Linked DNA regions of Arabidopsis thaliana. The protein of the gene in region 1 interacts with the protein of each later gene in a pairwise test. Each region holds a gene or a part of one and is shown on either strand. Other genes may lie near its edges.

Evidence for each region.
Region 2: the proteins of SEP3 (region 1) and SEU interact in a two-hybrid assay, tested with the Arabidopsis thaliana proteins (one study listed by BioGRID).

Annotation. Positions count from the first base shown.
Region 1 is NC_003070.9:8,592,947-8,597,827, reverse strand, and holds SEP3 (K-box region and MADS-box transcription factor family protein), read left to right. Parts: upstream 1-1,729; 5' UTR 1,730-1,965; coding exon 1,966-2,150; intron 2,151-2,936; coding exon 2,937-3,021; intron 3,022-3,130; coding exon 3,131-3,198; intron 3,199-3,282; coding exon 3,283-3,382; intron 3,383-3,460; coding exon 3,461-3,502; intron 3,503-3,585; coding exon 3,586-3,627; intron 3,628-3,712; coding exon 3,713-3,855; intron 3,856-3,947; coding exon 3,948-4,038; 3' UTR 4,039-4,252; downstream 4,253-4,881. Other genes in the region: AT1G24256 (uncharacterized protein), read right to left, coding at 4,839-4,881. UniProt on the Arabidopsis thaliana protein: Probable transcription factor active in inflorescence development and floral organogenesis.
Region 2 is NC_003070.9:16,615,266-16,622,790, reverse strand, and holds SEU (SEUSS transcriptional co-regulator), read right to left. Parts: upstream 5,804-7,525; 5' UTR 5,299-5,803; intron 5,180-5,298; 5' UTR 4,920-5,179; coding exon 3,954-4,919; intron 3,870-3,953; coding exon 3,750-3,869; intron 3,598-3,749; coding exon 3,549-3,597; intron 3,460-3,548; coding exon 3,245-3,459; intron 3,158-3,244; coding exon 3,089-3,157; intron 2,846-3,088; coding exon 2,748-2,845; intron 2,653-2,747; coding exon 2,559-2,652; intron 2,363-2,558; coding exon 2,293-2,362; intron 2,148-2,292; coding exon 1,195-2,147; 3' UTR 742-1,194; downstream 1-741. Other genes in the region: AT1G43860 (sequence-specific DNA binding transcription factor), read left to right, coding at 68-547. UniProt on the Arabidopsis thaliana protein: DNA-binding adapter subunit of the SEU-LUG transcriptional corepressor of the C class floral homeotic gene AGAMOUS during the early stages of floral meristem development.

The DNA.
Region 1 (4,881 bases):
TATATTATCAATGGGGAAGATTTGAAAATTTTTGGGGGATCACAAAACGAAGGAAAGAGTACAAAAAGAGAAGGAAAAGATAGAAGATATATGTTTTTAACTTCATTGGTATGACATCAATAAATAAATAGTTGAATGTACTTTAGTTTCTCTTTTGGTTTAATGCACATCATCTCGATCAATTGTCATCATCTTACATTGAATTATACGACCAGATCTGATAACAAGTGAATTCGTACTTGCCCTTCCCTTTCTTCTCATACGTCCTTCTAACTAATTTTGATTGTAACTTATAATTATATAACCATATTTAATTTTATTTTATCTAAAACCAATTGAAGCAAATTAAAATATCATAAATCTTGAGTCCCACATGAAGACAATATATAAAACTCGTGCAAATTTGCTTAAAATGCTTCTATGAGACCATGACCAAGTGAGATTAATAAGCGATTCAATGTGCAAATCAAAAGAGAAAAGAAGCTAATGGGTTTAAATATAACCAAACAGAATAATAATGCTATGTTTAGTTTTTCTAATTGAATCATACCTTTGTGTCCATCACCTACTTACCGGTCAGAATAAAGCAATTACGTCTGCAACCAAAAAGCACTAAGACTTTCGGTCAGACATGATCTCTAACATCGGACGAACCCTAAGATAACCAAAATAAACTATATCTTATATTCAAATCTCTGTTTATTTTATCCATTTATGTTTTCTTTCTTTCCCATAATTTTTTTTGTGTCTCATCAGACTCTCTTACCAAACTGAATTTATCAACATGGTTTTTTTTTTGGCCACATCAAAATGGTGGTTTATAAAGTAGACTAATACAAAAGACATTTCTGTTAATTTCACTAACAAAAATAATCTTAGCAGTACTATAGATTGGAAAAGGAAAAGCAAATCTAGCAGTAAGATTTATCAAAACTAGCAGTAAGAGTTTTAGATATCATGAAAACATCACAAACGAGTAGTGTTTTACTTTACATTTTTAACCAATCACAAGGGTAGTTCCGTAAGTTGGGAAAATCGTACGAGGCTTCACCTAGTTAAGGTTAGGTCACATGATTCCCTGAACTCGATTTTATAAGTAAAAAAGAAAAATTTATAAAATCAAAATTTTTTATATAAAAAAATCAGGTGGATTTATCAGACCCTACCATCGAGATGTCGACACGTGTCCAAACTCATTCATTGCCCTACTATTTTCTGTTTAGGGTTGCAATCACTCATCGCACACGCGCCATCTCCACCTTCCATTATTAATCTCTCATTTTCAACATCACACTCTTACGAATCATACGATTTTAATATCTCTGTCTCTCTCAACGTATTAAATAAAAATGGTTTTAAATGTTAGGGTTTTTTGTAGGATTTTCAATTATTAATCTCTATAATTCGATGAACTAAGTAAAAAAGCATCAAACTTTCTTGGCAGAATCACATTTTTCTCTAAACTAAATATGGACTGAAATTGAAAAATTAAACCACTAGCTAGAATAAAGTGTTGGTGAGAGTGGAACTCTAATTTCTCTCCTTTACTAATTATGTATAAACACAAAAATGCACCAAATTTTTAGGTTTGAAAATATCTAAGCATGGATAGGGTAATTAACATTTTTTCTTTCAATTTTGCAATATTTGAATAAATCCTATGAGGGTCTTTGGTACACAATAATTGGAGGGTATATAGTTGAGTCTGAGAGTATATTAGAAAGAGAATATTTCAAGTAATGAAGCTGACATGTTTATATGTACTTTGAGAGAAGTGTTGTGAGATTTGTACAAATGTATATGTACACTTTAAAAAGCAATATAAGATAGATAAAAAAAATATAAAGAAAAAAAGAAAGAAAGAAAGAAAGAAAGAGAGAGGCTCATATATATATAGAATTGCTTGCAAGGAAAGAGAGAGAGAGAGATTGAGATATCTTTTGGGAGAGGAGAAAGAAAAAGAAAATGGGAAGAGGGAGAGTAGAATTGAAGAGGATAGAGAACAAGATCAATAGGCAAGTGACGTTTGCAAAGAGAAGGAATGGTCTTTTGAAGAAAGCATACGAGCTTTCAGTTCTATGTGATGCAGAAGTTGCTCTCATCATCTTCTCAAATAGAGGAAAGCTGTACGAGTTTTGCAGTAGTTCGAGGTATATATCTACTTTTGTATATATATTACTTATAACATAAACATTTTATATACATATTAAGTAACACAAAAATGTCTTGTATGTATGGGTCTCTCTGTGATGTGTTGTTGTGTCGTACGTACGTGTTCTATCATATCCTTTTAAAAGAAGCAAAGAGGAAAAAAAATTTGGGATACCCCAAATCTGTATCATTTTATAACAAGTTTGCTTTTTTGATGTTCTTTTGTGTTTCTCTTTGATTTCCATTTTTGTTTTTGATTTTTTTTCTATTTCTCTTTACATCTATCAAAGTTTTTTTTCTTATATTTTATTGCTTATTTGTTTGTCTACTTAATTCACATTATCTGAGAGAAGAACAATCTATCTGATATGAAATTAGGGTTAATTTCTCTTGTGAGTACTCTTTAATTCACATAAGCTTAAAGTTTCCACCTTTTGATTCTGGGGGTCGTCCAATTCGATCAAATCACTCAATTTTGTTGTCAGATTGATATAAGTTCATAGGGGGATATTGTTTCCACGACAATCCATTTTAGTAACCCTTAGGGGTTTCCAATTTTGGGTTTTGAATTGACGCTAATGTCAAATTCATCTAAAGTCCGTTGGATATGTATACTTGGGGATGGGATTCATCCTTTTTTCTGGGTTCTTTAGATCTTCTCTTAAAAGACTAACAGATTTTGTTGTAAACCCTAGGAAACAGTTAAAAATCCCATTTTTAAAAACATGTTTTGAACTTGATGAGTAAGATTAATGGAAGAAATGATGTTTTTGTGTGGTGTGAAGCATGCTTCGGACACTGGAGAGGTACCAAAAGTGTAACTATGGAGCACCAGAACCCAATGTGCCTTCAAGAGAGGCCTTAGCAGTTGTACCCAATTCTCTTCTCTTTCTTCTAATTACCTTAATTAATTACTCTCAATTTTTACTTTGATTTTTAGAGTCAAATGATTAATGTTATAATTTGTCATATACTTCAGGAACTTAGTAGCCAGCAGGAGTATCTCAAGCTTAAGGAGCGTTATGACGCCTTACAGAGAACCCAAAGGTAAACTAATTAGCTTCTTCAGCTACCTTCAGAGAGTGTTTGTTTTTTTAGTAGATTTTTTTGATGGTTTTGATGTTGAAATAGGAATCTGTTGGGAGAAGATCTTGGACCTCTAAGTACAAAGGAGCTTGAGTCACTTGAGAGACAGCTTGATTCTTCCTTGAAGCAGATCAGAGCTCTCAGGGTACTACTTTGTTCATCAATATCTTTATACACTGATCTATTTCCATAGTAAGATTAAATTTGGTGTTTAATTCTGCAGACACAGTTTATGCTTGACCAGCTCAACGATCTTCAGAGTAAGGTAAATAAAGAAACACTCATTCTCCTCTCTAAATTCCTCATCTAAAAGTAATGTAACCAAGAAAACACAAATATTTGGAGCAGGAACGCATGCTGACTGAGACAAATAAAACTCTAAGACTAAGGGTAATTAATATACATTCTCATATCACCAAATTAATGCATCACTAAATTTGGTTATAATGTGTGTGTGTATATACATATGTGACAGTTAGCTGATGGGTATCAGATGCCACTCCAGCTGAACCCTAACCAAGAAGAGGTTGATCACTACGGTCGTCATCATCATCAACAACAACAACACTCCCAAGCTTTCTTCCAGCCTTTGGAATGTGAACCCATTCTTCAGATCGGGTAACTTTAGACTAGTATAACCAATTTGATTTGAGTTCTATTATAAGCTTTTCTTAAGAAAGTATCTCAAACTACTAAATTTTATGGAGCAGGTATCAGGGGCAACAAGATGGAATGGGAGCAGGACCAAGTGTGAATAATTACATGTTGGGTTGGTTACCTTATGACACCAACTCTATTTGAATCTTTCTCACTTAATCAATCCCTCTCTTTTTTTTTTGACATTTTTAAGATGATGTTTCTATTTTATTACCTCTCTCATGTTTTCTGTCTTGTGTGCATGTGTGTGTGTAATGTTTATGCCCTTCTATTATTCAATAATTTTTTCGACAATTTTGCTTCCTATTTTTACCCATTACTCCTAAACTTCCTGATCCAGTTTCTTTTAAAATAACTCCCATTTTATGCATGTTATCTAACCAATTCTCTTAACTATGATTTATGGTACGATATAACTCACAGTCTCACACTATCTATTTGGTGTTTTTTTGTTTGAGTCTTGAGAAGGGACCGCTTGTTTATCTCTCTTGTTAAAGAGCAACTCACTGGCCACTGCTTATGTATCTGTAGGCCCCACCTATATCATTTTGGCTATATCTATACTTTTGTAGAGGGAGTATTACTATAGAGAAGAAGATAAATTTGGTTCTAATATATCTTGCAGGTAGTTGATATTCTCAATTATCATGAAGATTTGATAGACAAGTTTATCAGATACCTTAAACATAGGTTTAAGATCTCAATTGAAATGTGAATTCACCCGACGATTAGAGTTACGATCTAAGGAAGCGTTTCTTGAATTTTGAGTTTGTTTGATCAAGAGTAGAATGCTTTTCTATTACTAAGGTTGTTAATGCTTATATTCCATGACCAAGGCCAAGAGAACAAACAAAAACATGGTGCCTCTTGATGTATAGTAATGGCTCTTAATGGTCATATACAGAGAAAAAAAGATTAATGTCGTTGCACAAGCTTGAAGTTACTTACTCCTCGTCTTCCTCATTAGTGTCTTCGTCTTCCTCATCC
Region 2 (7,525 bases), 8.0 Mb from region 1:
TTCAAACATTTTGAACTTCTTCTTTTCTATAATCCTCTCTGATCATGGTGATACATTTCTTGTGTAGGTCTGCGAGATGGAACCGGGCCTATTCCGAGAGTGTGATTCCCATGTGAGGAGTATCCAGGGAAGACTAGAAATACTCGCTGTATCAGTTCATGCAGAAGGTGACACAAGCATGGATCATTACGATGAGCATGATGATATGGCATTGCAAACCCACAAGCCGTTGTTACCTGCTGAGACTGAGACTAAGGATTTGACCGATCCCGTCGTTGAACTTAGCAAGAAACTGCAGAAGCAAGAGATAAGTACTACAGATAACATAAAGCAAGAAGGTGGAGAAGAAAAGAAGGGGACCAAGTGCAGCACTTGCAACACGTTCGTTGGAGAGGCTAAGCAATACAGAGAGCACTGTAAGAGTGATTGGCACAAACACAACCTTAAGCGTAAGACTCGGAAACTCCCTCCTATTAGTGCTGACGAATGCATGTCTGAGATTGACATGGACGACTCTAGAGCAGATTTGAAAGACTACTCTTTCTGAAACTACAATTTTCTCCTTTTGTGCTTTTAATTTTGTCAATGTGTTAAATCTCGTAGTCATATGTGAGTATGAATACACAAAACTTGTGGAATGAAATTTTGCGCAAACTTTAAGAGTAAAAACTTGTGTTTAAGAGACAAGCTTGGATATTTGGTATTTGATTAATAACTGTGACCAAACAATAGACATCGTACGGCTTGTGGTATTTCATTGCACTAACAACAAAAAATCATGACCGATCAGCATCGTTCAAGAGCATTGCACATATTTAACGTTGTGGTCAGAATTTAGGGAAGTTTGGTTAACACATGGAAGAGACCAGAGAGATAAATGAAGGATAGAGCTTGATTCATTGCCTCCCTGATGATGTGCCCTAAGGAACACACACCGATAGAAAGATGTACATTATAAACTATAAAGCATAAGAAAAACTCCCCAAAGTAAAAAAAGAAACAGTAACTCAAGAGATGGTATTGGTGATTGTGGAGGTGACCTAGAAACCAGTTATTGATACAAAGATTTGACTCTTCCTTTCTTAAGCACAATATCACGGCTTATTGGCCTATCCTTATCCTGAGTTTGAAGATGTGTGATGCTGCGCAAGCAGAACATTACCCTTTCAGTGTCTCTTCTTCCTCTTCTTCATTTCACGCGTTCCAATCAAAATTGTTGAAACCATTCACTGCTCCTAAAAGTTGGTTTCCTAAATCCTGTTGACCGTTTGGATCCCGCACCATCATCCCAACTCTTCCGTTCATGAGACTATTGTTACCGTTTATATTATTGATTCCGTTTGCTGCCATGGATTGACCAATCCCACCACCAAACCCACCAGCACCTCCAATATTTGTGTTGTTGTTGTTGTTCACTTGGCCATTCATCAGTAAAACACCAGAACTATTTACATTAGCTTGACCCTTCCCATCATTCCCGAAAGACCCATGCCCAACCATGCTTCCTCCTGAGCTATTATTATGAGCTTGGTTGTTCATCAGGATTTCATTCAGTATCTTCTGCACCGAGCTAGACTCGTTTCCATCAACCTCACCTGCCTGTTGCATTGCTGGTGAGTTTGTGGAACCCATGTGATTAACAGATGGTATCCCGTTTTGAGAGGGATTATTGTTATTAGATGAGGATGTTGGAGACTGAAATGTTGGCAGGTTGTGTTGTTGCTGCGATGATGATGGCACCATGGTACCCGAGGAACTAGGTGATTGCATCTGAACAGAGTTTCCTCCATAGGGGCTGTTTGGAGGATTGTAAGCAGCATTCTGATGTCTTCCCTTCATTGAATTCTGGTGGATGAGCCCTGCGATGCTGCTGGTGGAAGTGGATGCAGAGGCTGCATTAAAGGCATAATTTACACCATTGCTTGGATTACCCTGCATTAGTGCAACTTGCCTACTACTTTGATCACTGTTTGTATTCTGGGAAACTGTTTGCTGCTGCTGCTGTTGTTGTTGTTGTTGTTGTTGCTGTTGCTGCTGCTGCTGTTGTTGTTGCTGCTGCTGCCTAAGCTGGTCGCTGGCTTGCTGAGGAGAAGGACCAGGCAGTGCAGATGAAGGGCCTGTTCTCCGAGGAAACTTGGCTAAACTCTCTGTACCAAAGAAAGAAAACATGACATCAGTCAAATCACCGGAGAATATGTACAATGAAGTTCTGATATAATACATGAACGAAAAGAGTAGGTGCTTCAAGATTAAAAATACCAAATGCATTAAAAGGTGGTCACATAAACTTACCGATTGGTCCTGTTCGTGTTTCTCTGCTATAATCTATCAGGTCCTTCATACTATTTACCACCTCTGAGATCTACAATATTGCAAAATATCAATGTGCATTGGCAAACATGGTCACAGGGACAGACTAAATACAAAGATTGATTAAGTTTATTTCATTTTTATGTATTATCCTTTTCAAAGCTGCATTTTCATTGATGGCAAGAATCTTAAGTTTTAAGCAAGATTGTAGAGTTCACTTGATCCATATTGAGACATTAGTTATTTACCTGCAAACACCGAACATATCTCTTTGTGTATCCCAAATCATTCACAAGTGGTACTTCCAGGGCCTTTGCCAATTGTCTAGCAGATGCAACAAACCTGCAGACCAGTTGCAGCACATCAGAGATCACCAATCAAAAGTCGAATAACAGGATTTGTTACATCAATTTCACAGCGAAAGAGAGGAAGTTTACATATTGCAATTATTTTGTAGCTCCGGAAGAGCAGAATCTGTTGTTGCATTTTGAGCAGCTTGTTGATATTTCTGAGCTGCCGATCCAAGCTGACTAACCTGTATGTGAATACAAAAATAGCTAATTTACCTAAGCTGTTTTCACTGATTTAGATGTGTAATATTCTACTCCTATTGAAATTTGGAAACCACAAAAGATGAAAGGTAAAGTGACGATTTCGCAAAGAAAAGCAGACTAGAATAATATTAAGACAGCATATCCAATTTTGTGACAAAAGGAAAGGCCGCATCTCCAAAATAACTATATGTCAGAGCAATATGGTGAATCTTTCTGGAAGTTACCTGCGGTATCAAAAGTCTTCGTGGAATAAGCTCTTCATGCCGCCGAGCACAAAATTCCCAGGAGAATATCTGAGAAGGAACTTACAAGAATAAAGGGCTTGGAGAGAAAGTAATAGTATAATAATTTGCTGCGAAAGATAGAGTAGCTTGAAGAACCTTAAGATCTGGCGAGAAGACTATTCGAAGTTGGCCATCACGAACAACCCGAAGATGCTCAAAGACACTCTCTTGTGTTGCTTTTGCATACTCCAGGACAATTTGGCCAGATGAATTCTGGGACTCCCTTGGCATATCTACATATAACAGTTCTTCTAACGTCCCACTCTCATACTTAATCTTAAACAGCCGCGGAAGGACTTCGGCGGTTGCCTCTAAACAATGAAAGAGACAAAGCAGTAAGGAAGGAATATTTGATAAGATGTACAGGAAATTGTCTGCACTGATCATCTAAATAACATACCAAAACCACGTCCAGGCTTTCGGTTACATATCTCACAGTGCCACACATCCTGCAATGTTTGTGGAATAAAAATACTCATGTAAAGAGGTATAACATGAAACAAGTACGTAATTTATCCAGAATAACTGGCTCAGGTGCAAAAGACAAGCTCCTTTACAATTGTATTACAAACAAGATAAGTTCATTGAGCAGTAAACCAACCTGAGGGAAAACGCCTGTTGTTTGCCTGCCACTGCCATACATAGAGACGCACCATCTCTTTTTGGCATTAGGAGCAAAGTACTCAGCTACAAATTTTCTCCAGAACTCGATATTATTGTCCTGCATTTAATAGCAAGCACAAATGTCAATTATGAAGAAAAGCCATAGGCTGAAAGAAGTTAAATTTATGGTAAGAAGCTTTACTTCAGGCCTATGTTGTTGTCTGTACATATACTGTGTAAGACGCTGAGCACCCATGCCAGGTTCATACACTGGTTTCAGAGGTGGCCTTAGAGGTAAATTCTGCTGTTGGAACTGCTGTGGTAATTGAGGACGCTGTTGAGGCATAGATTTCAAGAGTTGCTGTTGTTGAAGTTGCATAAGTCTCTGCTGCTGAAATATGTTCATTTGAGCCTGCGGAGATTGCCCCGGCATTTGAAGAAATTGTTGTTGTTGTTGTTGCTGTTGTTGCCTCTGCTGTTGTTGGAGAAACAATGACTGCTCAGAATGTTGAGGTTCCATTTTCACTTGGGCCAAATTTCTCATGGCCTGAATTTGCTGCGGTTCCAACTTAACTGACCCTAGGTTTCTCAACATTTTCTGTTGCTGCTGTTGTACTTGACCATGCTGCTGATCATTCGAAACCTGACCAGGCTCCATCTTAACAGGTCCCACACCTGCTAATCCACCACCACGCACTGTCGAAAACTGCTGCTGCATTGACTGCTGCTGACCATGTTGAAAACTCTGCGTCTCCATTTTCTTATTCCGTTGTTGCTCAGCCAACAACTGGTTAGCCGAAACATTCGAAAACTGCTGACCCTGAACTTGACCTGATGAGCGCGGAGACACCATACTCGACGCATTAAAAGACGACAAACCACTAAACCCGACGTTAGACATCGGGTCAGACTCAGCACCACTTGTATCCATAGAAATCATAGAACCAGGGATACCATTTACAAAAGACTGATTATTGAGAAGAGAAGATATATTTGGAGCATTCCCAAGCATACTCATACTCATATTGTTACCAAACTGAGTACGCGGAGAGACAAGTGAAGGAAATGCTGGTTGAGAAGGAAGAGGAGCTCCTCCTTGTCCTCCTAATATCGAAGGCGGAACATTTTCACCACCCCCAACAGGATTAGGCGGCTCTGATGGTACCATACTCTTACTAATTCACAACTCCACAATCAACAAAGAAAGCAAGAAACAAAACTGACGACTTTATAAAACTCAGCTCTGTGTAGGAGCAAAGACGTATTCTTTCTGAGCAATGATAAGCTTCAGAGTCGTAAACACCACGGAAAGAGATGAATCTGAGTGATGAGATTCCGTATCGAACATTCTAGAACCAAACAACACTGTCTGTTGATTACTTACAGATCTAAATTAAGCAAATCTACTCCATTTCCAACTCTCACCACCTTAACAAAACAAAAGCATAATGTTAAGAACAAACCCAGAAAGAAAAAAACGAAACTTTGATCAAACCCTAATTGAGAAAAAAAACAGAGATTACTAGTGAGAATCTATAGAAACTTACCCAGAGGTGGAATTGAAGAATAAGTCTCTGATAAGACTCAAAACAAAGAGAATCGAACAAAAAGGAAGAGACTTTACACAACTAAAAATCTGAAAACTTCCGATGAACAAAATCTTGAAGAAATTTGAAGTCTTTTAGGGTTTTTTATTGATGGGTTTGGGGATAAAGAGACGAGAAGACAAAGAGAAACAAAAAGAAGTAGAAACAAATTTTCTCTGCCGCCTAGAAATTGTAGTTTCTGGGTTTTATTAAAAATTATACCTTTTTAAGCTTCACAGAGTAATTTGTGTCCTGTTCTTCGCTGTAGAGAGAGAGAGAGAAGAGAGAAAGAAGAAGATGAGAAGAGAGAGAATAGTGTCCTTGCGGACGTCAAAATTGTATTCGATCGGATTTATTTCATTCCCTTTCTTACTTTTTCTTTTTCAGTCTCTCTCTCTCTTCTTCTTCTTCTTCAAAGGAAGTCAATGACATGCCCTAGAAATGTTTTTTTTTTGTAATCACAATCTGGATTTTTTTTTTTTGTTAGCCACAAACATTTTTCTCTTTATTTTATTGGTTTTAGTGTTAAATTGTTATTTTTCCATTCAGAATACTATCACTTTTAAATACCTTAAGAAAAGTTTGATTTAGAAAGATATCAAAAGTTTAATATACACATCAATAGTGTTTTTTCTTAGAATGTAAAGTTTGGTTTAAAAGAACATAATGGAAATGACACTATTTTTATTTGTTTTTAGTTCTAAATTTGATATAGAAATTTTTCTTTCTTTTTTTGGTTTTAGTTTTAAATTTGATATAGAAATATATCAATATTTAATATATTACTACATTAATAGTGGTTTTTCTGTTTAAAGTTTATTTAAATGTGTAAATTTGGTTTGAGAGAGAGAATGGAAAACAAGACTATTTTTAAGAAAAAATATAATTATGGAACGACAACATAAAATTAATTTGAAAGCGGATTTATGTATGAGATTAAACAACTCGAGTTTGATCTTCATCCCTTGCTTAGATGATTTTTTTTTCCCATTCCCCTTATATATTCTTTTTCGTCTCAACTTTCTATCTTTTTTCTTTTGTTCAAGTTTTCTTAATTATTTTTGTCTACGCTTTTTAGATAATAAAAACTGCTTCTTATTTTCTTTATTTTATTGTCTACATGGTTTCATTACATAGAAGCTGAACTATAATAATCATGATGGTATTTTAAAGTTATAAAGCAAAGAAAATAAATATTATATACAAATGAAACTCCACAAGGAATTCTCACGGTTTAGAGTATTTGCATATTCATTTGTTTAATAAACCGTTTTCTATTAATATTAGAAAATATATAAAAAAAATAATTCAGTTTTTTAGTCTGATGTGTTGCAGATCATTTTCTAACATAAATATATTTAAAAGAAAAAATCAGACATGAGAGCATATATATGAACCATTGCTGAATATAAATCTTAAATACCTCATTTTTTCTGAACCTAATAATGCATGTAACCAATTTTAAGTCAAAAGCATTTTTTTGTGTGTTAAAATGTTAAATTTATTAGTCAACAAAAAGAAAAAATATGTATAAAGAGTTGAGAGAGTGCTTCACCCGGTTTAACAACACCACAAACCAAATAGCTTTTATATTGATTTAAATTACAATCACTAATGGTTAAAAAAACAGACTCATATATAGCCAAAGATATTGGTATTGCAAGAACTTCTCCTGCCATTGGAAACATGGTTGAATATTTTGATCTATTTATTTTTACTACCTTAAAACATGGTTGAGTATATCTGACTCGTCTTTTTGATATGTTTCCAACTCATTTACAGAAAGAAGATTGTAGACTTAAACTGGTCTATCAAACACTATACTCAAATTATCTCTACAAAATATTTATCAGCAAATTATTATTTCTCACACTTTAGATTACCTTATCCACGTATAAGTTTAAAGCTAAACAATGCAAATATCATTATATGAAAATGATCAAATATTTTAGCCACTATCAATATTTTATTGGCTTTTTCTATATCTTCTCAATATCTATCAAATTTGGATGTCATTGCATAAATCATATCTCTCAAATCTTACGTTAAACCCTAAATACCATACTTGATTGTTGTATATCTCATTGTAGTAACTATTTGATGTTACTTTATAGAAGAAGAGAATGTTAACATATGATTTAAAGGTTTTTTACTATATGACGCGGTATGTTCTAATCAATTGTTATTG